7 linked regions of the Cricetulus griseus genome follow. The protein of the gene in region 7 purifies or fractionates together with the protein of the main gene of each other region. This does not show direct contact. Links are inferred from orthologs where the notes say so. Each region holds a gene or a part of one and is shown on either strand. Other genes may lie near its edges. The genes, in order: Upf3b, Dcp1a, Mov10, Ncbp1, Ilf2, Magoh and Upf1.

Region 1 (3,500 bases), on a different chromosome or scaffold from region 7:
TCCAGGTTCAGAGCCAGCCTGGTATTTAGAGTGAATTCTAGGACATTCAGGGCTGTTTCACAGAGAAACCCTGTCTTGAAAAAAAAAAAAACAAAAAAAGGGTACCATCCTTAGTTACATAGTGAGTGAGTTCCAGACCAGCCTAAGCCTTATTGGACCCTATCTCTAAACAAACAAAAAGAAAGAAAGTTTAAGAAAAGACATGTTCAATGAATTTAAATAAATTTCTTTTTTTCTTTTTTTTTAAATTTTATTTATTGTATGTACAGTGTTCTTCCTGCATGTATGCCTACATGTCAGAAGAGGCTGCCAGATTTCATTACAGATGGTTGTGAGCCACCATGTGGATGCTGGGAATTGAACTCAGGACTTCTAAGAGCAGCCTGTGCTCCTAACCATTGAGCTATCTCTCCAGTCCCAAATAAATTTTTTTTAATTCATTTTTTTTTATTTTTATTTTGTTTGCTGTTTTGAGACAGGATCTCTCTCTAGTCCTGGCTATACTGGAACTCACTCTGTAGACCAGGATGACCTCACAGAGATCCTCCTGCCTCTGTCTCCCTAGTGTGCCACTGTGTCCAGCCCATTTTTACTGTTTAATATTAATATGGGGGAGGTGATATGCACATGGGTGCAGGTGCCTGGGGAGACAAGAGGCTTCGGATTGCCTGGAGCTGGAATTCTGATGTGGATCCTGAGAGGTGAACTCAGGTCTTCTGCAGTAGCACTACTTGCTCTTAACCACCAAGCCATCTCTCCAGCCCACTTAAATAACTTTCTAAAGCTTGGTTTCTATTAATGAATATGCAGAATGTTCTCGTGTCTGGTAGCTTCCTTAGAATAAATTCCGAGAAGTAGAAATAGACCAGGTATTTGTAGCGCAAGCCCCTGCCCTCAGTTTCTTTCCAGTCCAACAGACTTATACTCCTATATGATAAGAATGTACTTCTGTCTTACCAACTAGAAATTACTTTCAGTATTTCTTTTTTTAGTAATTCTCTTATGTACAGATGCTTTGTCTGTATGTATGCCTGCAGGCCAGAAGAGGACATTAGATTGTGAGCTGCCTTGTAGGTACTGGGAACTGATCTTAGGGCCTCTGGAAGAGCAGCCAGTCCTCTTTAACTGCAGAGCCATCTCTCCAGCCCCAACTTTCAGTATTTCAATGGGAGTTTATTCACTATCTTTTCTCGGTGTCTTTTTATTTATTTATTTATTTTTGCTAGGATCTTATGTGTCCCAGGCTGACCAAAAACAATATAACCATATAGCCAAGGATAGTTTCAACTCCTAATCCTCTTGCCTCCTGAGGTGTGTGCCATCACACCCAGTTTCACTCACTTTTTTAAACATTTATTTTAAGCCAGCATTTTGAAATAGAACAATATACAACTTGTTTGGATTATTAGGGTGGTTTTTGTAAGGGGTGTAATTCCCCCATCTTCAGTGGGTAGCAAGGGATAGCTGAAAATGAAATCCTTTCCAGGCTTGATAAGCATTATTAATAATCTTCTTTTGCTTTATAGCTAAAAGGACAACCCCACTTTTGAGCTTCCTGAAGAACAAGCAGGTGAGTGTTCATTTTTGTAGTTCTGGTTCTTTATTAGTTCACAGTGTATAAACATTTGAGAGCCTTGGGATCCTACATGGGAAATAGCTATCTTCCCACAGTTAGCCCTTAAAGATCTAGTTTCTTTAGCCATCTTCATGTTGGTGGTGGGCTAGGGGCTTACCCTGCAGACCTGGAGAGAGCTTTGCTGTCCCAGAGACATTCCCTAGAAACCTCAGGGAATATACAGAGGAAACTGTGGGATCAGGTCCCGTTCCAGTCTTAATTCTCCAGAGAATGGGTATTAAGGATGTTGTAGAAAGTAGGAAAGAAGTCAGGCATCCATAATGCCTTTGTGGCTAGTTGGGGTTTTGGAACTTATGTAATCAGAAGGATTGTGTTGGTATTTCTAGAGAATGAGAGAAGAAAAGAGGGAAGAAAGGAGGAGACGCGAAATAGAAAGGAAAAGACAAAGAGAAGAAGAGAGAAGAAAATGGAAAGAAGAGGAGAAACGAAAAAGAAAAGATATAGAAAAGCTAAAGAAGATAGAAAGAGTTCCAGAAAGAGAAAAAATAAAGGATGAACCAAAGATTAAGGTATGAAAACAACAGAAATGGACTGCATGTCACTGAAAACTGCATGTATCTATTTATGCATGAGCCTGGTGTTGTTGCAAGTTTTGTTTTTTTTTTTTTTTGCACTTTTGTGGGGTTACAGAAATAAAAAGATTTCCTATCATACTAATAGTGCTATGCTTTAAGCTTAAGATGACTTAGAAGCATTCAGTAGTTTATCCAATGCTATTGTCCTTCATTGCAGACCTGTTTTGTTTAAGTCACTAATAATGTTTGCTATGTGGGTTGCTAGTCTCTCAGTTCCTGGTAAATGAGGACTTAGGCTTGGCTTGCATGCATTTGGGGTTTTTTTTCAGCTTTTCTTTCATAAATGATACATGAAGTTGCCTCATCTGTTTGTTTTCCACTGTCTTCAGGTACACAGGTTTCTGTTACAAGCTGTGAATCAGAAAAATGTAAGGATCAAGTACATGATACAGAGCACCTAGTATCATGTCATACACACAGGTTTTAGCAAATAACAACTTTTGGTGGTGGTGGTAGTGTTACGTGCTGAAACCCCTTCAGATTGACTTGGATCTTTGTGAAAGCTGAGCTATTTGACATCTCTCTTTAAAAGGAAACCCCAGCCGGGCGTTGGTGGTGCACGCCTTTAATTCCCAGCACTTGGGAGGCAGAGGCAGGCGGATCTCTGTGAGTTTGAGGCCAGCCTGACAGAGAAACAAAAAAAAAGGAAACCCCAAACCAGGCATGATGATTCATTAAGGGTTTAGTGTGAAGCCAGCCTAGCCTGCAGTTCCAGTACCTACCTCAATAAAATAGGACAGAGTAAAATAGAGGGCGCGCAAGTGACACCCTGATGCTCTGCTGTGTAACCAGAGAAAAGTCAGTTTATATAGCACCTTCTCATCTTCTTATATACTTCTCCTAACTGGCTGCCCTGGGGGGAAAGTATTGACAAATACCCTGCCTTAATTGCTTTCCCCTCTCCTGTGATTCCCAAGTTACCATCTAGCATCTAGAAATCTGTGATCAGCAGACGCTTATTGCTACATTGCATATAGGAAGAGGAAAACCTATAGAAAGATCTCAGCCTTGCTGCTTCCTTCCCAAGGGCATGGCTTGGGCAGTCCTTGCTCCAGTGAATATCCCAGAGAATATCCCAGAGAAGTACTCAACAGCTAGACCTTCAGAAAGTCTGAGAACAGATATGACAGCATGGTTGCCTTCTTCTCCTTTCTGGAAATACAGCAACTGGAGGGGGGGCTGGGGTTTCCTCAGTCTCCTTTGGACTCAACATTGCTGATACAGGGGAAGCTTACACCTCAATTCCTTCCAGCTGAGTCTCTGTCCACCATGCCACAAGTAATTTGACT
Region 2 (4,216 bases), on a different chromosome or scaffold from region 7:
TAATCAATGTTCAATTCAACATGTCTACATCTGTAGCATTTTTCTATTTTAAACCTTAAGGACCACTAAAAAACAAAATACCAGAATTAGCTTTACTTTTTATTTTTATGCATTAACTTTTTTAAAAACTAAAAAACCAAACATACATGTTTGCCAGTACACACGTCTACGCAACATGTGTGCTGGAAACTCACAGAGGGCACAAGAGGGCATTGGATCCCTTGGAACTGGAGTTACAGATGGATGTGAGCCACCATGTGGGTGCTGAGAACTGAACCCAGGTCTTCTGAAGAGCAGCCAGTGCTCTTAGCTACCGAGGAACCATCTTTCCAGTCCCAGCTTTAACTTTGCCAAACCTAAAACCTTTCAACAAGGTATCTTAATGTTGAAGTATTTTGTGTTGCAACTTCAAAAACAAACAAAAAAACCTGACCAAACTTTAACAGTCTATCAAAGTTAATAGAAAAAGAAAGTAAACTGATACCAGGGCTGAACTCAGGGTCTGGGGCTGATGATGTAAAGCTGTATACCACTGAGCCAAATCCCTAACTCTCAGGAAATTTTCTTATATACTTTGTTTCACCTCTGGAGAATTTAGGAATATTTTCATTAGTAACAAATTTTGTGGTTAGTTAAGGACTACTACCAAACACTTTGTTAAGAATCCATGGATAGACCTCATTCTCAGACGTAGGCAATTCTGGTAGGTTTTTAAAATAAACATTTGAAAATTTGATTAAGAAATAACTTGGGCTGGATATATATAGCTCAGTGGTAGAGGTACAGTGCTTGAATAGGATCATGAGGCCCTAGGTTTGATCTTCTGCACTACAAGAAACAAAACAAGAAAATACAACCCATTAATATTCTTTCATCTGTTTTGACAAGAATATAGTCAGGTTTTAGGCACAGGCAGAGTGCTTTTATTTTTTTCTAAAACCCCAAAATCCTGTCAGTCTGTAGTTCTTGGCTTACACTGGATCTTGATAATTTAAATGTAACCAAAAGATTATCAAAACTTAACGTTATATCAAACAAATTGTTGTGATAAAAAATTAAAAATAAAGATCTGTTTCTTGTACATGTCTTCTACATCACAATGAAACTTATCCTTCTTGAGGCCTTTTCTTGCTTTAAAAAAAATGCTCTCATCAGAAAAAGATGACAGCCAGTTGTCTCAGAGTAAAAGTAAACTTGCCTCCCAAAATACATTGAGCAAAATTACAACTCACCACTAATAAATAAGAAAAGATGATGGTGAATGCACCATGTATCAAGATCCAAAAAAACAGCAGCTTAGGTTTCAATTTCATTTTAAAACAACTCCATGGTGAAAATCCTCAAGTGTTGCAAGCCTTTGTGAAAAACTACAAATAGGTAACAGTTATAAATGCTACTTGCAAATTCTCACCAATTGTCTGCAGCCCTTATGTTACAAATTTACATATAGAGGAAGCAGAGAAAAATGATACAAAATACTTCAAACTAAGGCACTGTTTAAAACAGGTATACCAGTAAAACAGTTTGTAATTTTATTCTCAGTGGCTTCCTACATCCCTTTCCCCTCCAGAAGGAGAAGGAAAATGATTATGGAAACTTCTTCTGACGTAAACTTTCATAAATGACAATACACTTCCACAAAATTACATCTATGTATCAGTGTCACAGTGAATAAAAGTTAGACCAGTCCTTCAGCGTTTTGTTAGTTCAAGGACCTCATTACTTGTTGAAGGGTGAACGCCTATCATTGATGAATTCTATTCAATCAACAGTTACAGATTAAAGGCATGAAGCTTTTACAGTTGAATGAATTAGAAAGAGTCAGCACAAGAAAATGGGAAACCATGTAAACAACTGAAAGGTACTTTAAGTTGAAGCTAACAAGTCAGTGAGTAGGCACTGTAACTTTTTGGAACTCCATCGCCACTCACAAAATCTAAAAAGTCCTCAGATGTGAGCCATCAAAGATTAGGTATCACCGGTCTCTTTTCCCTGCAAAAGGTCTCCAAGGAACCCTATTCTTACCGTAGTGCCCTTTCCTTAGATGCCTTGAAATCTTTCCCCAAACTCTAGAGTAGTTCGATTAAAGCGGGACTAACTCTTGAAACTGATTTTTTAAGCTTCAAATCCAAATCACCTCATTTAGGTAGGTTGGGGGGAGAGGGGTGGACTTTGTGATTAGACACATGTAATTTATCTAATAGTTCTCAAAGTCTGAAACACAGATTTCAGTCACAAAAATACCTCCCCCCCCCAAAAAAAACTAACTTGTCTCATATCCTTCCAATGCAACCAGTAAAAAAGTAAAATTACTCAAGTCCCCAGAACCGACCCCAAAGGACTGATCCTGCCTCATTCCTCCCCTCCATTAGATCTTCCCTGCTATATTTCTCCCGCTTCTTTCCTCCAATTCCGCGTGCCCCCGTCACCCCTCTGGTTCTGGCCGGGCCTTTAGGAGAGGTTCTGGCCTCGCCTTTGCGGTCCTGCTTCACTCCCCCACCCCCAATCCTAAGCTGCCTGCGCGGCCCCTTTAAGAGGCGGCAGCGGCCAGGTTGGCACCCTTCGCGGCTGGGCCTCACTCACCCACTGGTTGGCCTTAGGGCAGAAAGTGTACAGAGCGACCTGGCCCGTGAGGTCTGCGATGCTGGTGATATAGGGGTCGTGCTGCTTCAAGGCCGCCAGACTCATCTCTTGCCCTGCTCTACTCAACGACTCCATCTTGAATCCCGGAGCCGAGCCCCTCTGGCGGGGGCGGACTAGAGAACAGGAAAGTGCAATCCAGGCAAAGTTCCCCCAGCTCAGTCAGTCCTTCACTTCCGCCTAGCTGCCCGGCCTTGCGGAGGGTGGTACTTTAACTATTCTGTTCCGCCACTCCCACATCCTGGGAGCCTGGTTCCGGTCTCCGAAGGTCCGCATCTGCCGGAAGGTACTGGCTGGCGTCCGCGGCTGCGTGTGACGAGGAAGTAGCCCCCAGTCCTCGCTCACCTGGTGGGACCCGAGCTCCTTCCACGAGCACTCCCGGCTGCTCTCGGCTGCTCCCGGCTTGTGTCAGCCGGCGGGACTCCATCGCAGAGGCTGTCTCAGGTTCAGGCGCAGAATCGAAATGCTGCTGTGGAAATGACGTCTCCATGGACCGTTTAGAAAACTCAGAAAGTGTATGTGTGTGTGACTGTGTGTCTGTGTCTGTGTGTGTGTGTCTGTGTGTGTGCTGTATGTTACCTCCGACCTCAGACTGTGTGTGTGTGTGTGTGTGTGTGTGTGTGTGTGTGTGTGTGTGTGTGTGTGTGTGTGTGTGTGCGCGCGCGCGCGTGTGCGTGTGCAGTATGTTACCTCCGACCTCAGACTGCACCTTCAGACCTTCAGTTAACAATTTGGTAATTTTTGAAAGAAATGTTTCAAAGCAGCCAAACTAAACTCGGAAAGAGTGTGTGTGATCGTTTAGAAAACTCAGAAAGTGTGTGTGTGTGTGTGTGTGTGTGTGTGTGTGTGTGTGTGTGCTGTATGTTACTTTACCTCCGACCTCAGACTACACCTACAGACCTTCAGTTAACAATTTGGTAATTTTTGAAAGAAATGTTTCAAAGCAGCCAAACTAGCTTGCCTGGAATTACACAGGACTCCTTTTCTTTTGCCCTTTTCTCATATTTTTTTCTCATCCGAGTCCCAGGTAAATATTTCTATTGTTCCAGATTAAAGAACGTCGTTATTTAATACGAAGATCACTTTAAAAACAAACAAAGAGCAACTGGGAGGTGGTGGCACAGGCCTTTAATTTTAGCAGAGACAGGTGGATATCTGAGTTCGAGGCTAGCCTGATCTACAGAGCAAGTTCCAGGACAGCCAGGGCAGTTACACAGAGGAAACAAAACAAAACAAACCCCAAACATTTATTGGGCATCTTAAGTAGTGAGGTACTACTAAAAAGTAAAACAAAATGCCTACCCTATTTTCACCAAATTGCTTTAAAAACCATTTTCCTTTATTGAAGACACCTTGGTGTAATTGAACATTTTTGAAAAAACAAACTACGTTTTCATCAAAACAACACCACATATTTGTATTGCTTATAGTTTTACATCCCAAGATCATTTACTAAAGGAAGAACAAACTTTACATTCTTTACAGAATCGTGGGAAGCAAGTACAAAAGCAGGGAAAGTAACCTATTTATTCACTCTTCTGTCATGTATACTTTAATTGAATTTATAGAGTACTGG
Region 3 (3,500 bases), about 200 Mb from region 7:
GATGTATGTCACCTTCAAATCCTTGATGTCATCCAGTCCTCGAAGTTCCCGGTCAAGTTTGGTGATGCAGTACCGGATTTTTTCTACCTGGAGGGAGGAGATAGGTTCCTTTTTCTCATGCCATCACCCCACAAAGAGGGAGGCAGAGGCAGGCAGCTGGCCAGGGTGCTGGCGGGCAAAGAGGGAAATCCTGACCTGCTTCCGGTATGGGGAGATGATGCCCACACTCCGGGGGCTCAGGCGGGCTTTACCCTTCTTGGAGGAAGGGGCCAGGAGCTGTTTCAAGTACGATGTCACTGTGGCGGCCTCTTCAGGGTTGAAGAAGGATGGGCTATTGCCCTCTCGCTCATCTTTGCCCATTACACCATGGAAGATGATGGGGAAGCCCTGAACACAAAGTGAGAAGAAACCCTCAGGCTGATCTCCTTGCCTCCCTGCCCTCCAGCTCAGATAGGGAATCAGGGGTTCCGAGCCATAATGACAAAGGGAGGTCTCTGTGCCTTCAGGAGAAGGGAGTCAGGGTCCAGGGATGGAGCCCTGCCATGCTAGGCCTCACCTGTTGAGGCAGCCCCTCCCAGCGGCAGAACCTTTCTCGGTCCACCACATCTGCACAGGCCTGCAGCTCTCCATCATAGTACAGCCGGTTAGGGATGTCCAGGATGGTGGGGTGAGACCTAGGAGGCAGGAGGAGAAAGAACAAGATCAAGGCCCTTTGGGGGAGCCCTGCTCCATGTGTTCCCCCTGCCCCAGCCTCTGGCCCTCCAGCCATGCCCAGGACACATTCATCATCAGTGTCTGCTGCCAGGTGCTATACACAGCAGAAAGCCAAGCCAAAGTGGTTCTAATAAGCAATCAGGCTAGGGCTCTCACTGACCCGCCAAGTTCCTTTTCAAAACCAAGAAATTAGGACCCATTCTCAGGCTTTAGTTTACTGAACAAAAACAGTCCAGAAACAAATTACCATCACCACTTAATTAGGTTATACCCCCAAAATATAAGTATCCACCCAAAAGCATCTACAAAACTTTTACAGTTATCACTGTGTGGTGTGGGTAATCATGCTTTGCTGTGTGGAGGTCAGAGGACAACCTTGTAGTGTCAGTTTTCTCCTTCCACCTGTAAGTGGGTTCACCAGTTTAGGAAATCCAATTTAGGTTGCTAGGTATGTGTTCACCAAGTACTTCTACCTACTGAGCTATCACAACCCTGCCATTTTGGGATGGTGTCTGACTGTATAGCCCAGGCTAGCCTTTAAAATCTGAATCCTGTCTCACTCAATCTCTAAATGCTGGGATTACAAGCATGTGCAACCACAGCCTAGCTTATATTTACCCAACGCTTAAAAGATTTTTATTCTTTTTAATTATGTTAGTGTGTAGGGAAGGGGGGTATGCAGGTGACCATGGAGGCCAAAGGCGTCAAGATCCCCTTGGAGTTAAAGAGTTAGAGGAGACTATGAGCCATGGGTGCTAAACATGGGTCCTCTTCAACACTTTTAACTGCTGAGGCATTTGTCCAGCCCCAGATTTACCAAACTCTCACTGACGGTCTAGAACTCACCTAAGCACTGACGTTAAACTTACTAGAAGAAATTCGTAAGATGGTAAGGGTGGAATGTACCTACTGTCCTAGATACTCAGGAGGCTGAGGCAGGACTGCTTGAGTCAAGAGTTAAAATCAACCTAGGCAAAACAGGCAGACTTTGTCGCAAAGGGGAGAGGAGAGTCGGGGATGTACATTAGTGGTAGAACACTTGCAAGCAACATACATGCAAGGTCCTGGGCTCAAGTCCCAGCACCCCACAAAAGTAAAAACTGCAAGTACATAGGCCTCAGCTGTGTATGTAATTCAACTAACAATGGTTTTAAGGAAAAACTTACACTCCCTTTCTTTTTCCTTGTTGGATTGCCTAGAAACTTAGACCCATCCAGACACATTCTGGTCTGATGACCTCTAATATACAGGTAAACCACTGGTCCAAGAAACAGCTGCCTGCTAAGTCACAGGACAAGTAGCTGTAAGGGGGTGACCAAGGAGACATCCTCTTCTACCTGAGGCGGGGACCATGATACCTGTAGTTGCGGAGCAGTTTGGTGATGAACTGGGGGTCATAGCCATTGGGGCCCTTCTTGTATAAGGAGTTGTAGGTGAGTAGGCGCTCCAGCAGAGAGTAGCCAAGCCCATGCTTCTGTGCCAGTGGTGAACGCAGCACAGGCCCCAGCTGCCGCGGGTCTCCTGCCAGCACTAGCTGCCCTCCTGGATTGCCCGTTTCCTTTACATCCAGCAGTCCTGAGAGGCACGGGAGAAAGAGTAAATGGTGGGACTTACCCAGTTGGTGTGGGGTGGTGTACCTATAGCCCATCCTGAGCCCCCTCACCTGCTATGGCCACCAGACTCTCAGGCTCCATGCAGTGGCCAGCCTCATCGATGAAGATGTGTGTGAAGTGATCGATGGGAAACTGGGCTGACACCAACCTGGGAGTGTCAGGCCAAGCAGGGGTCATTCCCAGGCACCCAACTACCAAACCTGAACTCTGGCCCTTCATTTCACCCTGCCCTCAGGGACCCTTCCTCTTTCCCTAGCCCTACACCACTTTACTTTTTACTAGCAAGCGAGAAAGAGATCCTATACATCCCTTACCTGCTGGCAGTGATGAGGGTGGTAATTAAGACCCGATATTGCTGGAGATGCTTCTTGGCAGGATATACATACTCTCCCTTTTTAGGATCCCAGTTACAGCAAGTCTGTGGGATATGAAAGGATGTGAAATCGGCTTGGCTCTTTGCTTTCTCACTCTCACCCTGGCTCTGGACCCTCTAACCAACACTTATTACCTGCCTCCCTCCCTTTGCTGGTAAGAAAACAAAAGTCCCCACAGCGGGCCTGACCCACCCGAAGTCACACAGCAAGTCTTTAGATGCTCTGAGAACCTCCCAGGCATCCATCATCACTTGGCCTTCTGCACTTCCTGCATACCTTAATGTCCTCAGGTACCATTCGGATGTCCCTGCTGGGGGCCAGAAGACGGTAGATGGAGCTGGGTAGGTGGACCCGGAGCCGCTGACAGAGGAGGTCAGCCCCTGAGTTGGATGGAGTGCAGGCCAGGATGTGGGCTTTGGGCAAGAGCTTCACTACCTGAGATAAAGAAAACAACAGTATGGGCAGAAGCTTCCTGTGACGGGGACTCGGGCTCCATCTGCCTCCCAGACACCTGATAGTCTAGATTTCTTTGGTATTGGATATCTGCAAATTCACCTCTGCATGTTTACACACCAACACTCAACAGTCATAATGACCATAACTCCCTAACTCCTCTTTGGGTGACTGTTCATATAGGAACATTCAGTTGACTAGAGGGAATCAAAATTGAAGACAAATGCTGGGGCTGAGTAATTCAGGGTAGGCCCTGGGATTGTGCTTCAGCCTCACCTGCTTGATGGCCTCCACTAATGTGACAGTCTTGCCGGTACCTGGAGGCCCAAAGATGATGTAGGGGGCA
Region 4 (3,500 bases), on a different chromosome or scaffold from region 7:
CATACATACACTGTACAAAGAAGCCTTAAGATCTTGCTCTTGTAGTTAGGAAGATCAGCTTCCAAAACACCAGCCAAGCCTTCTAGATTGCTCTCCAAAGAGCAGGCACTCTGCAGAGGACATCACATTAATTATCTGTTAGCGCTCAAGCAATCAATGACTTAAAAGTTAAAATTCCTAGATGACCATAAAACATTAAGGTCTTCTATAAGGCACTGTGGGGAAGAAAAATAAGAACTAAGGACAATTTTGTAGAAAATTCACTTAGCAGTAATAAATCCGAGTAGTTACTGTTCATTAGAATTATATTCTATGAAAAGAGAGTCAACAAAATCTTCAAAACAGTCTAAGCAGAATGTGCATCCATCCCAAGTGTGGGGACAGCATGGGCTGTGCTCCATCACTCTCACTAATCACCCTCTGCTGTCTGAGGTATCCAAGTCTGCTTCAGGTCATCATGCTGAGGACTATCCTCAGGTCTATTTTAAGGCTTGTCTAATGAAAATTACCAAAACACATTCCCATTGGGATACAGATGTGCAGTAATAACACACACTTTGTCTGTAACTTGAATCACCCACTACAACTTCAGAAATTAATCAAAGCTGTCAGCCACAACCCTAACCCCTGGGTTTGATGCATACCTACCTTTTCCCCTACTTTGCATATTAAAGATTCCAAATGATCTTCAGTTTCATTTGCATCAGAGGTCTTTCTCCTTTTGTGAGGTTGTCCACCTATTTCAGAAACATTAAAAAAAAAAATTACATGATGACTCTACTATCACAATTTTTGTCACCTTGTTAGCCTTTAACCTCTTTTCCATCAGACTATGTTTTTTAGAGTAGCTCTAACCAATCACATTTTAACTAGTCTAGGTATACCTGGACAATTTCTATCCCGCATTCTTTTAGATTTGTGTGTACGTAAGTGGATGCACACATGTATACAGGTTCCCATGCTAGTACACTCATATACAGCCAGGAGAGGGTGCTAGGTGTCCTCCACCACACTATTCTTTAAGGCAAGGTCTCTCCCGAACCTGGGGCTCACTTTTCTTAGCTAGGATGATGGTAACTCCTAGTGATCCTCCTGTCTTCACTCTCTTGAAGTTGTGGTTAAAGACATATACTGCACACACTTAGAGTGCTGAGACCCAAATTCCAGTTCTCATGATTGTGTAGTAAATGCTTTTAACTGTTGAGCCACCTCTCCAGACCCCAGTCTCTCCCTCTCTATGCATGTGCGTTTATATATATTTAATTTTTTTTTATTATTTTATATGTACAGATGTTTGGGCTATATGTATAACTATGTACCACTTGTATGTCAGGAGCCAGTGGAGGCCCGAAGGGAGATTCATATGCCTTGTAACTGGAGTTATGGACTTCTGTAAGACACAATGTGAATGTTGGGAATTAAACAGAGGTTCTTGAGAAGAACAGTTGGTGCTCTTAACTGCTGAGCCATCTTTCCAATGCCTCACATTGTCTCTGTTATTAAGGTCACTATAAAGAATAATGTCAGGAGGCATTTTTTCAGTTAGATTTGTGTAAGCAATGTCCACTTCTTCGGAAACACTGAAGGGCACCAACACACCAAACACCCATAATCTGAGTACTGCTGCTTCCATTCTTTTAACTTGCTTACTGACCCACAGTTTTTGGTTCCTAAACCTCATAGTGTCAACCGTACTTGTTAAACTGATGATGTAACTAAATTACTGCAGAAACTGCTGAAATAAGGATTTAGAAACAAGTTGACTCTGCTGGAAATTTTTTATTTAAAGTATGACTTTAAACTTAACAGTGCTGATGCTAAGAAACTGCTTCAGAATGCATAATGCACCAACAGTGTTCTTCATTATTATTCAGAACCAGATTTTAGGTGAGGGTCAGAGAATACAGAGTGAAAAACTAGCTGAATGAGAGCAGCTGTTTTTCTAAACCTTTTCAAACTTTTTCCTTCCTTCTGGCCCATCTACTATACTAATCCTTTATCACATCCCAAAGCCCTCCTAATTATACATTGTTCCAGTTTGCAACCATTTTTGTCTTCCAAACATTTCTTCCATGTCCTCTTGTAAGCCTGACACACAGAAATCACTGCTTTGGGGAGACAAGGCAGACTTTCTAAAGACAATGAGAAAATACAGGCACATAGTCATATCTCTGAACTGTTAACTTCTGTGTTGCTGTGGCTATCCAGCCAAGGTTTATCTGGAGAAAACTGAAAGTACTAGAATGTGAAGAGTCACTCTTCTTACCTGATACTTGAGAGGGTATGAAAGGTACATGTGAGTGCTACCGATCACAGTCTGAACCCATGGACAGTAATAAGACACTGAACTCAGCAGACAGTCCGAGTGAGAGCACAGAAGCAGAATACAGCACCTTTATTAAAAATACTTTGGGGGGGGGGCTGGAGAGATGGCTTGGTGCATAAGAATACTTGCTACTCAAGCATGAAGGGCCAAGTTTGATCCCTAGAATTCACATCAAAAAGCTAACATATGCCTGGTATTGTGGTCTTTAAATCCACCATTAGGGAGCCAGAGGCAGGTGGATCACTGAATTTGAGGCCAGACTGGTCTACCTACAGTTCTAGGACAGCCAGGGCAAATCAGTGAGTCCCTGTGCTGGCTAAATTTATGTAACTATTCACAGGCTAGAGTCATTTAAGAGAAGGGAACCCCAATTGAGAAAATACCTCCATAAAATCTGGCTGTAGGCAAGTCTATAGGGCATTTTCTTAATTAGTGATCATGGGAGAGGGTCCAGCCCATTGTGGATGGTGCCATCCCTGAGCAGCTGAGGCTCAGAACCTAAGGTGAGCCACTGAGGAAGGTGCAGCCTCCACAGCAGTTGAAGGCCCACGATCAAAGGGGTCATGAAGAGTAGCTGAGGCTTGGCACTGTGAAGAGAGCCCCGGAAAGGGCTATTGGTGAAAGAGCAGCCCAGTTGCAGACAAGACCCCAGCATTTTGGAGAGGCCAGTAACATGGTATGACCAAGGACAGTTGCACGGATGGAGTGGAACCTGCCAGAGCTTAAGAGACAAGCTGTGTGTGCTGCAGAGAGTGAAGCAAGAGAAGAGACCCAAGATCCTTGGAGGATCCCAGAAGATCATGAGTGGATCCCAGACATTGGACACAGAGTTATTTATAGGTGGGAGTTTGGATTTGCTTTGTTCAGACTGTGAATGTGCTCTGGTTCTTGCCTCTTGAATAAAAAAGCAACTTATTTTTGAGACTTTAAAAGTTTTAAAATCCAAAGTGTTTGCATTGGTAAAGACTGTTGGGTTCTTACGTTTGTAATATGTTTTATATTTGTGTTATTTATTAATCTGAGATACTGGAGATGAAAAAAAAGGGAAAGGTTATGTCTTAAGTAAAGTATGTCAAACTGACAAGGAGTCAATTGTGCCGGCTAATTTTGTCAACTTGACACAGGTTAGTGATGTCAGAGAAAGGAACCCAATAGGGAATATGTCTCCACAAGA
Region 5 (4,106 bases), about 180 Mb from region 7:
AAGGTTTATTTTATTTTAAATTATGTGTATGTGTGTATATATGCTTGTGTGTGCAGTGCCCCAGAGGCCAAAAGAGATCTGTTGCTCTCTAGTCGTCGCTGCCAGAGCAGTGCATGCTCTTAACTGCTAAGCCATTTCTGAGATAGCTTTCCAGCCCTAATGAACAAAAAGAAGTCTAAATCCATGATAGCAGAAATCCAGAATGGTTACCTTTCTGAGGTCACAAACTTTTGTTTTTTTGAGACAGTATCTCACTATCTGGCATAGACCGGTTATGTAGACCAGGCTGACCTTGAACTCACAGAGATCCTCTTGCGGCTGCCTTCCAGGTGCTGGAATTAAAAGCGTGTTCCACCATGCTCCGCCAAAATATTTGTTTTGAAAAAATTTTCTGTTAAATTTATTTATGTTGTGTTTATGGGTGTCACCACAGCCACAGCACACATAGTGAGGTCAGAAGACAATATGTAGAAGTCGCTGCTCTCCTTCGCGTGGGTCTCAGCAGCTTACACCTGCTGAGCCACCTTGCGGACCCGATAAAATATTGTTTATTTTAATCTTGGTGGGGTTAGGTTACTTGGAAGAAATACACGCCTACAAAAGTACACAACACATCAGTACTTGTCAGAATCACACAACACAGGGAAGTGGGGAGGACGGGGTGGAATTCGGGGAGGGGAAAGACATGATCAAAATATATTGCATGAAAAGTATTTTCAATAAAAAGAACTGTATAACAGTAATAACATCGAGGGAATAATTGTGGTAAATAAGACTCAATTATCCCTGATATTTTCGTAGGGTAAAATTATGTTTTCAGGTGAGGTGGCACACCACTGACATGCAGGCACTTGCAAGGCTTGAGGACGTAGAGATTGCTGTGAGAGTGAGGTCAGCTCGCGTTCCATTAACGAGAACTTTGTAAGCCGGGGTGACCAAGCGAGATGCTGTCTGGAAAAAGCAAAACCAAAAACAGCTGGAGAAGAAAAGACAAGTTTGTTTTATCAAAGCGAAGGCAGGAGGCCGTAGGAAAAAAACAAAGTCTCCGATAGCAGAGGATGGTTTCGATCCATCGACCTCTGGGTTATGGGCCCAGCACGCTTCCGCTGCGCCACTCTGCTATCCACTGCTCAAACCCCTTACTGGGCCCATAGAAGACCTTTACTAGGTCACAGTCCGGATTCTGAGCGCCCCCTAACGTTAGTGTAGAAAATTGCCTTCATCCCCGCTATTGTCTTCCTATTGGTTGGCTCCTTATAGGGCATTTTTTTCATTGGTTGCTGAATTGACCAATAATCACAAGGGACGGAACGAGGCGGGAGCCTATCGCGCCGGCGTTTGTTGGGACGCCCTGGCAGACGCTTCTCTGCGGACCTGATTCTTCTAGGGAAAGGGCGGTTTAGTGTCCTCCATTGTTCAGGATTAAGCGAGCCATGAGGTAAGTGGACAGAGGTTCCTGAAGGCTCCTCCAGAAACCTCGGGAGGGCGGCCTGAAACGGAGGCGGAGGACCAAGGGCCTGATTGTGGGCGCCTGGCGGCGAACAGGCCGGCGAGAGTGGAGTTGGAGGAGGCGGGTGGGGGCGGGGAATCGGGCCTGGAGGGGGCTGGGCCCAGCCTGGGAGCTGGTTTAGCACCTAGGGCTCGGGATGGTGTGGAGAGCCCTCACGGACCAAAAAGAGCATCCTCGGTCTGCAGGGAGAAGGCTGGAGCGCTGCGCATTTTCTAGCGCCTAGTGTTTGACCAGTAGGACGTGCCTGGTAACTGTTAACGCTGTGCTGAAAAGAGAAGGCACTTTACTCTGTTAGGATTGGCGAGTCTCACGGTCGTGGGTCGCTTGGTAGGGGTATGTGTGTCAGTCAGGGTCTTCACCTCATATTTTCCTGATGTGAGCTTTGATAGAATCCAGAATTAGAAGTCGGGTGTAGTGTCGCGCGCCGCAATCACAGCACTTGGGAGGTAAGGCAACAGGAGTACATAGGACCCTGTCTCAAAAACAAAAGGGGAAAAAAAAATCCAGAATTAAGACGTCGTGGGGGTGGCGTTGGGCACCATTTGGAATTAGGGAAAAGTGACTTCAGTAGTTAGAAGCGGTTGAGGTAAGTCAAATTGAATTAATGTGGCTGGTATGATGGAGACGTTTTTCAGCTAGGTGAAAGTAAAATGTATGTATTTTTTAGGGGTGACAGAGGACGTGGTCGTGGTGGGCGCTTTGGTTCCAGAGGAGGCCCTGGAGGAGGGTGAGTGTGGCTGTTTGCATCTTTGCCCCGGTTTGTTCCAGTCATCTAAATAAAGGTTTGGAGTGGACTGCTGAACTTGATTTTTGTGAAGGTCATGTGAAGCATTTCTTTTCCTGATATTCTGCTAAGTAACTTTAGCCTTTTGCTAAGAATGATATGGCTCAAAAACTCTGGAATTCGCCGGGCATTGGTGGCGCACGCCTTTAATCTCAGCACTCCGGAGGCAGAGGCAGGCGGATCTCTGTGAGTTCGAGACCAGCCTGGTCTCCAGAGTGAGTGCCAGGATAGGCTCCAAAGCTACACAGAGAAACCCTGTCTCTGAAAACAACAACAACAAAAAACAAAACAAAAAAACCCCAACTCTTAAAAGACAAAGTTGGTGAATTGTGTACTCACTTGCTTTCTGTTTAAATAATTTTGGATTGTTTTTGTGTTTCAGGTTCAGGCCATTTGTGCCCCACATCCCTTTTGATTTCTATTTGGTGAGTACTTGGCTTTGTGGAGGACTTTTCTGCCCACTGTGCAAAAAAGGGAGCACAGAATCTCCTTGTTAATGAAGTCAAGTATTGTTTGGAGTAGATTTGTGAATGAATATGGTATTGTTCATATTATGGTACAGAAATATGGTTCATAATATGATACAGAGAAAGAGAGTCTTTCTCTGTATGCCTGGCTGGCCTGGAACTCAGTGTAGACCAAGCTGACTGCAAATTCACCATCCTCCTGCCTCAATCTCCTGAGTGCTGGGACTATAGGCATGCACTGTCACATGTGGCTTAAGTTTTTATTTATTTAGTTTGAGTGCTAGGGATTTGAACCTAGGTCCTTAGCATGCTAAACCTACAACTCCAACTCCTAGTTTTATTTTATTATTGCTATATTTATTCATTACATATCACTATATAGGTATATAATATGGCTGTATCAGTAGACACAGGTTTGGTTCCCAGCACTAATATCATAGTGTACATCTGTCTGTAATTCTAGTTCCAGAGGATCTTATGTTTCTGTTGACTTCCACAGGCTCCCAAACACAGGTGCACATACATACTCTGAAGTGTTCACACATATACAATAAATAAATAAATATTCAAAAACAAAGCAATTGGTCAGCCAGTTTTCAAAGTGGCTGTAATACTTTTGTAATCCCAGGAATGGATGCCTATGACAGGAGGACCATGTTCAAGGTTTAAGATCAGCCTGGGATACAATAGTAAACTGTCTCAACAAAAACAAAACCGAGAAAACAGTGTAAACTTGGTAGGGAAGATAATTTCTTTAGTTTGATATTTAATATTTCTTCTATTATATTTGGTTATAATATAAAATAATTTTAGGATTTAATTTTTTTGTTGTTTGTTTTTTTTTTTTTTCGAGACAGGATTTCTCTGTGTAGCTTTGGAGGCTGTCCTGGAACTAGCTCTTGTAGACCAGGCTGGTCTTGAACTCACAGAGATCCTCCTACCTCTGCCTCCCAAGTGTTGGGACTAAAGGTGTATTTAATTATCTTTGAGACAGTGCCTGTATATATAATTTTGTCTGGTTTGGAACTAATAGGGATCTGCCTGCTTCTGGTTCCTGAGTTGCTAAGGGTGTGCACTATCACACACACACACACACACACACACACACACACACACACACACACACACGGTGGATCATACCCCCCCCCCCCAGGATTGTTCTGTGTAGCCTTGGCTGTCCTAGAACTCACTATGTAGACCAGGCTGGCCTTGAAACTTACATAGATCTGCCTGTCTCTGCCTTGTCCTTCCCCACCATGCTGAGATTAAAGTTATGCACCAACATGGCCCAGCTACAGTGGATTCTTTTTATTTCATGTGTATGTATACCCCCTTGTATGCCTGG
Region 6 (2,258 bases), on a different chromosome or scaffold from region 7:
AGTTATACCTGTCTGCCACTCTAGTCTCTGGTATCCCCTAAAACTGGCATGTATTCCTTCCACTTGCTTTTTTAGATTTAGTAGCATACTTTAAAAATAAATGGCCATACGTGATGTGTATGTATATGTATGTGTGTGTGTGTGTATATATATATATATATATATTTCATTCAATATTGTTTCTAATATTTATCCATGTTGAACTACTCAACAATTTAAATATGTTGAACATAACATTTCCTTACTGAAGCAGACTTAAGTTCCCAATTTTTGCTATATCATTTACAATGTGGCAAGAATGTTCTAGGTCTTGGGGCTGAGCTCACAGTAAACATTTTGTTCTAGTCCTGAAGTTAGGTCCCCAGCCTCACCAAAAGTATTTTTTTACTCTGTCAGCTCCTTATCCTAATGGCTTCCTAATGTGGCCATACTGGTACTTTATTACTGCCATCAGTGTATGAGCTCTTTCTATTCTTTTGAAGACCTGGGTGAGGCTTCAACAATGTGATGTCCCAATTTTTACAGGTTACAAATGTACCTGTAAATCTTTTCCATGTTTCCTGGCTACTTATTTGAGTCTATAAACTGTCTATTTATATCCTTTGCAACATTTTACCCCCCTGGGTTATCTTTTTATTGGTTTATAGTTCTTCACATATTCTTAGAGAAACTCCTTGTCAGATATTTTCCAGATCGTTTCAACTTTGTTTAGATGCCTTTGGTAAAACAAGTTTTAAGTTTAATTAAAGAAGTCAAATTTACAAATCTTGTCCTTTAAGGAAAAAAAAAGATATTTTTGTGTTTTGAGATGGGTCTCATTATATACCTTTGGCTGGCCTAGATTCCAGAGAGACCCACCAGCCTCTGTTTCCCACTTGCTGAGATTAGAGGCATGTGCCAACATGTTCAGCACAATTTACATTTTAAAAGAACCTCCCTGGCTTTAGGATAGAAATGTGGGGCTATACAATGCAGGAGAAACACAGAAACCAGAAGTATGTAGTATAGTAGTGGCAGTCGAGGTAAATTATCTTTTACTTTTTGGTTAACAAAATGGTAACATGGGGCTGGAAAGCTCGCTCAGTGGTTAAGAGCAGTAGCTGCTCTTGCAGAGGACCTGGGTTCCATTTCTAGCACTAACATAGAATTAATGATTCTCTCTCCCTGCCAAAATGTCCCATAGAGCAGTAGTCCACATCTCCTTTGTAAGAAGTACAAGTACAATCAATAAAGCACTCACCTGCCGGCCTACTCGGTCAGGAGGGGGCCACAGAGCATCATCTTCTTTGGTGATTTCACTGTCATCAATAATTCTCTTTAATTCTTCCATCACACTTTTATGTACATATGCCTAAAATCAAGTTTAAAATACATGAGCCTCTAGGGGCCATTCTCATTCAAACCACCATACCTCAACAACATTCTGACCCAGAAAGTAATGGGAGATAAAACTCCTAAAGACCTGTTTCTCAAACCTCCATGAGGAGGGTTCAGGATCAAAAGTACCTAAAGACAGTAGTCCAGCTCCCCAGCTACTTGTTGGTATATCCTGTCTGTCCACATCAATGTTTTCTCTGTATTCTAGCTCATGCAAAAAAAAAAAAAAAAAAAAAAAAAAAAAAGAAAAAGAAAAAGATAGGATGCTGACTCGGCATAAAATTAACAGCCAAATGGTATGATGGTATACTTGACCGTTACATTTTTTTCCCCTTTTTTCTAGACAGGGTATCTCTAGCTTTAGAGTTTGTCCTGGAACTCAATAGAGATCCCCCTGCCTCTGCGTCCTGAGTGCTGGGATTAAAGGCATGAACCACCACTGCCCAGCCTGACTGTTATATTTTCAAGTGTGACTGAGTGGTTAAAAGGAAACAGCAACAGGGCAGTGGTGGCACACACCTTTAATACCAGCACTCGGGAGGCAGAGGCAGGGGGATCTCTGTGAGTTTGAGGCCAGCCTGGTTTACAAAGCTACACAGAGAAATCCTGTCTGGGAGTGTAGGGCAGGGGGCAGGGCAGGGGGGGGGGTGCGGCAGAGTTTTGATGTAGCTGTAATGTATGCTAGAAATCATAACAGAATGGAATACATGAACTTTATTGAAATATAAGTATGCCTAAATTTTGGCCATTATTTCTTACAAAGTAAAGCAAGAGTAACTTTGAACAAGCCTCAGATTTAATATCTGGGCCTTAATTTCCTATATATATATTTATAGAATATTCTGTCACATAAGTGTTTAAAATCAGGGTTAAAGAACATA
Region 7 (2,743 bases):
GCTGGACTGTGGAGCCGCCAATGCCCACGTGCGCCTGGCAGAGGCCTCCCTGCTGCTGGTGACACTAGACCCGCGCCTGTGCCCCCCGCCGCGGCCAAGGCGCCACACAGAGCCCGGGATGGGCGCCGGTCCCGGGGGCGCGTGTCGCACGCGACGGTTGCACGTGAGCTTCCGTGAGGTGGGCTGGCACCGCTGGGTGATCGCACCGCGCGGCTTCCTGGCCAACTTCTGCCAGGGAGCGTGCACGCTGCCCGAGCCCGGCGGGCCGCCCGCGCTCAACCACGCCGTGCTGCGCACACTCATGCACGCGGCCGCCCCCACTCCAGGCGCAGGCCTGCCCTGCTGCGTGCCTGCGCGCCTGTCGCCCATCTCTGTGCTCTTCTTCGACAACAGTGATAATGTGGTGCTGCGGCACTACGAAGACATGGTGGTGGATGAATGTGGCTGCCGCTGACCACCCGGGACACCCTCATAGGGACAGCCCCACGCGAAAGCAAGGACCATTTGTTCATGTTTTATTGGTGACAAAAAGCTTAAAACAAATTTGACCAAAAATTAAGTTCCATTGCGTTGACGCAGGTGTGCCTGGGTAGGGGTCGGGGGCCACTGCGGGAGGTTGGGGCAGAGCGCCCAGCAATCAGGCCTCCACCCACGATGGGAAGACCCCGCGGGCCAACACGCATTGGTCACGCTCAGGAGTTCGCCTGCAGCTTCTGAAGCTCAAACTCAAAACAAATCCTCTGGCCATGGTGCAGACGGTGATCCCAGGCTGCGGGGCTCAGGCTTCTCTGCGTTGCCTCTCTGGAAGCTTCTTGTATCTCCCAGGTCCACCACTAAGGTCTTAGAGACAAACTGATCAAAGTACTTCCCATACTCCTTTGAAAGAATCTCTGAAAACAAAACAAAACACCCCTCCCCCCAACCCCAAACACCGTGTTTTCTTTAAATGAAACCCCTTAGCGCTGGGACGTGCGCGATGACGCTCCTGGCCGCCCGCTCGGGCACAGAAACGCTTAGTTCGTCCTGCTAAAACGTAGCCCCTCAATCACGAGAAACAAAGAAAAAGAACAGCGGGCCGGTCCTGGCGAGGCCTCTCCCTCTGGCGGGCACGGCGCCGGGCCGGCCTCGCAGCGGTGCGGGCCTCTCTCCTCTCACCGCCCGCAGGGGGCGCCCGCTCCTCGGCGCTCCGCTCCTCTCCGTCGTCCTCCCTGGCCGCTCTCAGCTCGCTCTCGCTCCTCTCTCCTCTCCTCTCCTCTCCTCGGCTGCTCACACAGTGGTGCTTCAGTTTTAGCAGTGGAAAACAGGTATCCATTTATTTTTATTTTTTATTACCCAGAATAAGATGCTGATAGACTAAGCCACATAGCTTAGCTGTTCCGCCGCCACCTGTGATCAGGGACAGGGTGAGAGGCATCAGGGCCAAGTGGAGGCAGAACCTGCCCACACCCCGTATCTGTCTACACTAGTGTGTAGGCAGATAGCTGGGCCTACTAGGACACTTGCCTTCTAGTACTGGGACAGCCCGGTGACCCCGCCATGCTGGTATGCCCGCTCCCCCTGGTATGTGGAGTCTTGGGAGAGTGCCACATCAATCTGTGATTTAAACTCATCACCGAGGTAGCTGTCCTGAAAGGCAAAGCAAGAGTGAGCAAGGCAGGACACCCACCAGCCCACACCCACCCAGGAGTGAGACCCTGGAATATGGTAAGAATACAGCCTTAGTGGCGGGTGACTCGCCCTTCAGGAAGGTGCCCCATTCCCCCACCCCTCTGCCAGTATGCTGATGAGGGCCCACCTGGGACAGTTCTGGCTGGGAGAGGCCGGGCTGGCTCATCTGGGAGGGTTGGCTCATGGACACATAGCCCTGTGTGAGGGCGCCCTGGGAAAAGGGCTGTGAGGCCACATCCTGGCTGGCCTGGCTGTTGGGAAGGGTGGTCTGGCTGGGCCCAGGAAGCCCGAAGCGGTTCTTCTGGCGTCCTCCACGGCCAGTCTTGCTTTTTGGGGTACCCCGGCCTGAAAGACAGCAGTGAAAGACAGCAAGCTCTACCTAAGCCTATCAAGATGAGGACTCAGCATGGTGATGATACAGCCACTCACCAGCAGCTGGCCCATTGGCCTGTCCAAAGTATCCAGGCGGCGGCATGGGAGGCATGACCAAGTTGAAGGGAATGGGGATGTTCATGGCAGCCACATGGCTGGGACCTGCGCTGATCATGCCAATCTGGTCGTGGGTCTGGAAGTACATGTTTGATGGCCGGCCTGCAAGACACCTGGAGTCAGATGCAGGGTCCCAGAAGACAATGCTGCAGTGAACTAGCTGCTGGGCCAGCCAGCTAAGGAGACAAGCAAGAGATGGAGTGCGTCTCCCATGCAGGGTGCTAGTAGAGCGTAAGGAATTGACACAGAAGGGTAGGTGAAGCTCTGGCCACGTTGGAGCTTTCTAGGCAACTCAGAAGCTTCCAAAATGCAGAGGCCAGCTTGGTGGAGGTGGACACAGGCTTGCCTCCGAGGTGCCAGTACAAACCCAGAGCATAGGTTAAAAGCCTGGGAGCCTAGAAAGGGTCCAAGGGCTTGGTTGGAGAACCCACAAAGACTCACTGGGCAAGCTCCAGATGGAGGCAAAGGCCAGCCTGGGAGGCCACTGGGTGTGTGTGTGTGTGTGTGACAGATCCAGACTGGGACATGGGAAAGTCAAACATACTGCGGTTACCAGGAAGACTTACCCTGGCTGCTGCGGTCATAG

Evidence for each region.
Region 1: the proteins of Upf1 (region 7) and Upf3b purify together in Homo sapiens (co-immunoprecipitation; 16 studies listed by BioGRID and IntAct, with this or other methods). This does not show direct contact. The link is inferred for Cricetulus griseus from reciprocal best matches to the Homo sapiens genes UPF1 and UPF3B.
Region 2: the proteins of Upf1 (region 7) and Dcp1a purify together in Homo sapiens (co-immunoprecipitation; 4 studies listed by BioGRID and IntAct, with this or other methods). This does not show direct contact. The link is inferred for Cricetulus griseus from reciprocal best matches to the Homo sapiens genes UPF1 and DCP1A.
Region 3: the proteins of Upf1 (region 7) and Mov10 purify together in Homo sapiens (affinity purification with mass spectrometry; 3 studies listed by BioGRID and IntAct, with this or other methods). This does not show direct contact. The link is inferred for Cricetulus griseus from reciprocal best matches to the Homo sapiens genes UPF1 and MOV10.
Region 4: the proteins of Upf1 (region 7) and Ncbp1 purify together in Homo sapiens (co-immunoprecipitation; 3 studies listed by BioGRID and IntAct, with this or other methods). This does not show direct contact. The link is inferred for Cricetulus griseus from reciprocal best matches to the Homo sapiens genes UPF1 and NCBP1.
Region 5: the proteins of Upf1 (region 7) and Ilf2 purify together in Homo sapiens (affinity purification with mass spectrometry; 3 studies listed by BioGRID and IntAct, counting the BioPlex papers as one, with this or other methods). This does not show direct contact. The link is inferred for Cricetulus griseus from reciprocal best matches to the Homo sapiens genes UPF1 and ILF2.
Region 6: the proteins of Upf1 (region 7) and Magoh purify together in Homo sapiens (affinity purification with western blotting; 3 studies listed by BioGRID and IntAct, with this or other methods). This does not show direct contact. The link is inferred for Cricetulus griseus from reciprocal best matches to the Homo sapiens genes UPF1 and MAGOH.

The regions. Positions count from the first base shown.
Region 1 is NC_048604.1:29,409,222-29,412,721, forward strand, and holds part of Upf3b (regulator of nonsense transcripts 3B), read left to right. Parts: intron 1-1,526; coding exon 1,527-1,570; intron 1,571-1,962; coding exon 1,963-2,145; intron 2,146-2,540; coding exon 2,541-2,579; intron 2,580-3,500. UniProt on the Homo sapiens protein: Involved in nonsense-mediated decay (NMD) of mRNAs containing premature stop codons by associating with the nuclear exon junction complex (EJC) and serving as link between the EJC core and NMD machinery.
Region 2 is NW_023276807.1:189,261,229-189,265,444, forward strand, and holds the start of Dcp1a (mRNA-decapping enzyme 1A), read right to left. Parts: upstream 2,801-4,216; 5' UTR 2,719-2,800; coding exon 2,584-2,718; intron 1-2,583. UniProt on the Homo sapiens protein: Necessary for the degradation of mRNAs, both in normal mRNA turnover and in nonsense-mediated mRNA decay. Removes the 7-methyl guanine cap structure from mRNA molecules, yielding a 5'-phosphorylated mRNA fragment and 7m-GDP.
Region 3 is NW_023276806.1:52,175,127-52,178,626, reverse strand, and holds part of Mov10 (helicase MOV-10), read right to left. Parts: coding exon 3,431-3,500; intron 3,137-3,430; coding exon 2,978-3,136; intron 2,746-2,977; coding exon 2,642-2,745; intron 2,476-2,641; coding exon 2,378-2,475; intron 2,290-2,377; coding exon 2,073-2,289; intron 675-2,072; coding exon 557-674; intron 388-556; coding exon 196-387; intron 88-195; coding exon 13-87; intron 1-12.
Region 4 is NC_048595.1:97,282,110-97,285,609, forward strand, and holds part of Ncbp1 (nuclear cap-binding protein subunit 1), read right to left. Parts: intron 738-3,500; coding exon 649-737; intron 111-648; coding exon 10-110; intron 1-9. UniProt on the Homo sapiens protein: Component of the cap-binding complex (CBC), which binds cotranscriptionally to the 5'-cap of pre-mRNAs and is involved in various processes such as pre-mRNA splicing, translation regulation, nonsense-mediated mRNA decay, RNA-mediated gene silencing (RNAi) by microRNAs (miRNAs) and mRNA export.
Region 5 is NW_023276806.1:64,074,791-64,078,896, reverse strand, and holds the start of Ilf2 (interleukin enhancer-binding factor 2), read left to right. Parts: upstream 1-1,306; 5' UTR 1,307-1,433; coding exon 1,434-1,438; intron 1,439-2,177; coding exon 2,178-2,237; intron 2,238-2,676; coding exon 2,677-2,719; intron 2,720-4,106. UniProt on the Homo sapiens protein: Chromatin-interacting protein that forms a stable heterodimer with interleukin enhancer-binding factor 3/ILF3 and plays a role in several biological processes including transcription, innate immunity or cell growth.
Region 6 is NC_048595.1:41,957,005-41,959,262, forward strand, and holds part of Magoh (protein mago nashi homolog), read right to left. Parts: intron 1,352-2,258; coding exon 1,241-1,351; intron 1-1,240. UniProt on the Homo sapiens protein: Required for pre-mRNA splicing as component of the spliceosome. Plays a redundant role with MAGOHB as core component of the exon junction complex (EJC) and in the nonsense-mediated decay (NMD) pathway.
Region 7 is NW_023276806.1:248,638,407-248,641,149, reverse strand, and holds the end of Upf1 (regulator of nonsense transcripts 1), read right to left. Parts: coding exon 2,724-2,743; intron 2,260-2,723; coding exon 2,098-2,259; intron 2,014-2,097; coding exon 1,796-2,013; intron 1,627-1,795; coding exon 1,507-1,626; 3' UTR 1,504-1,506; intron 1,387-1,503; 3' UTR 501-1,386; downstream 1-500. Other genes in the region: embryonic growth/differentiation factor 1-like, read left to right, coding at 1-454. UniProt on the Homo sapiens protein: RNA-dependent helicase required for nonsense-mediated decay (NMD) of aberrant mRNAs containing premature stop codons and modulates the expression level of normal mRNAs.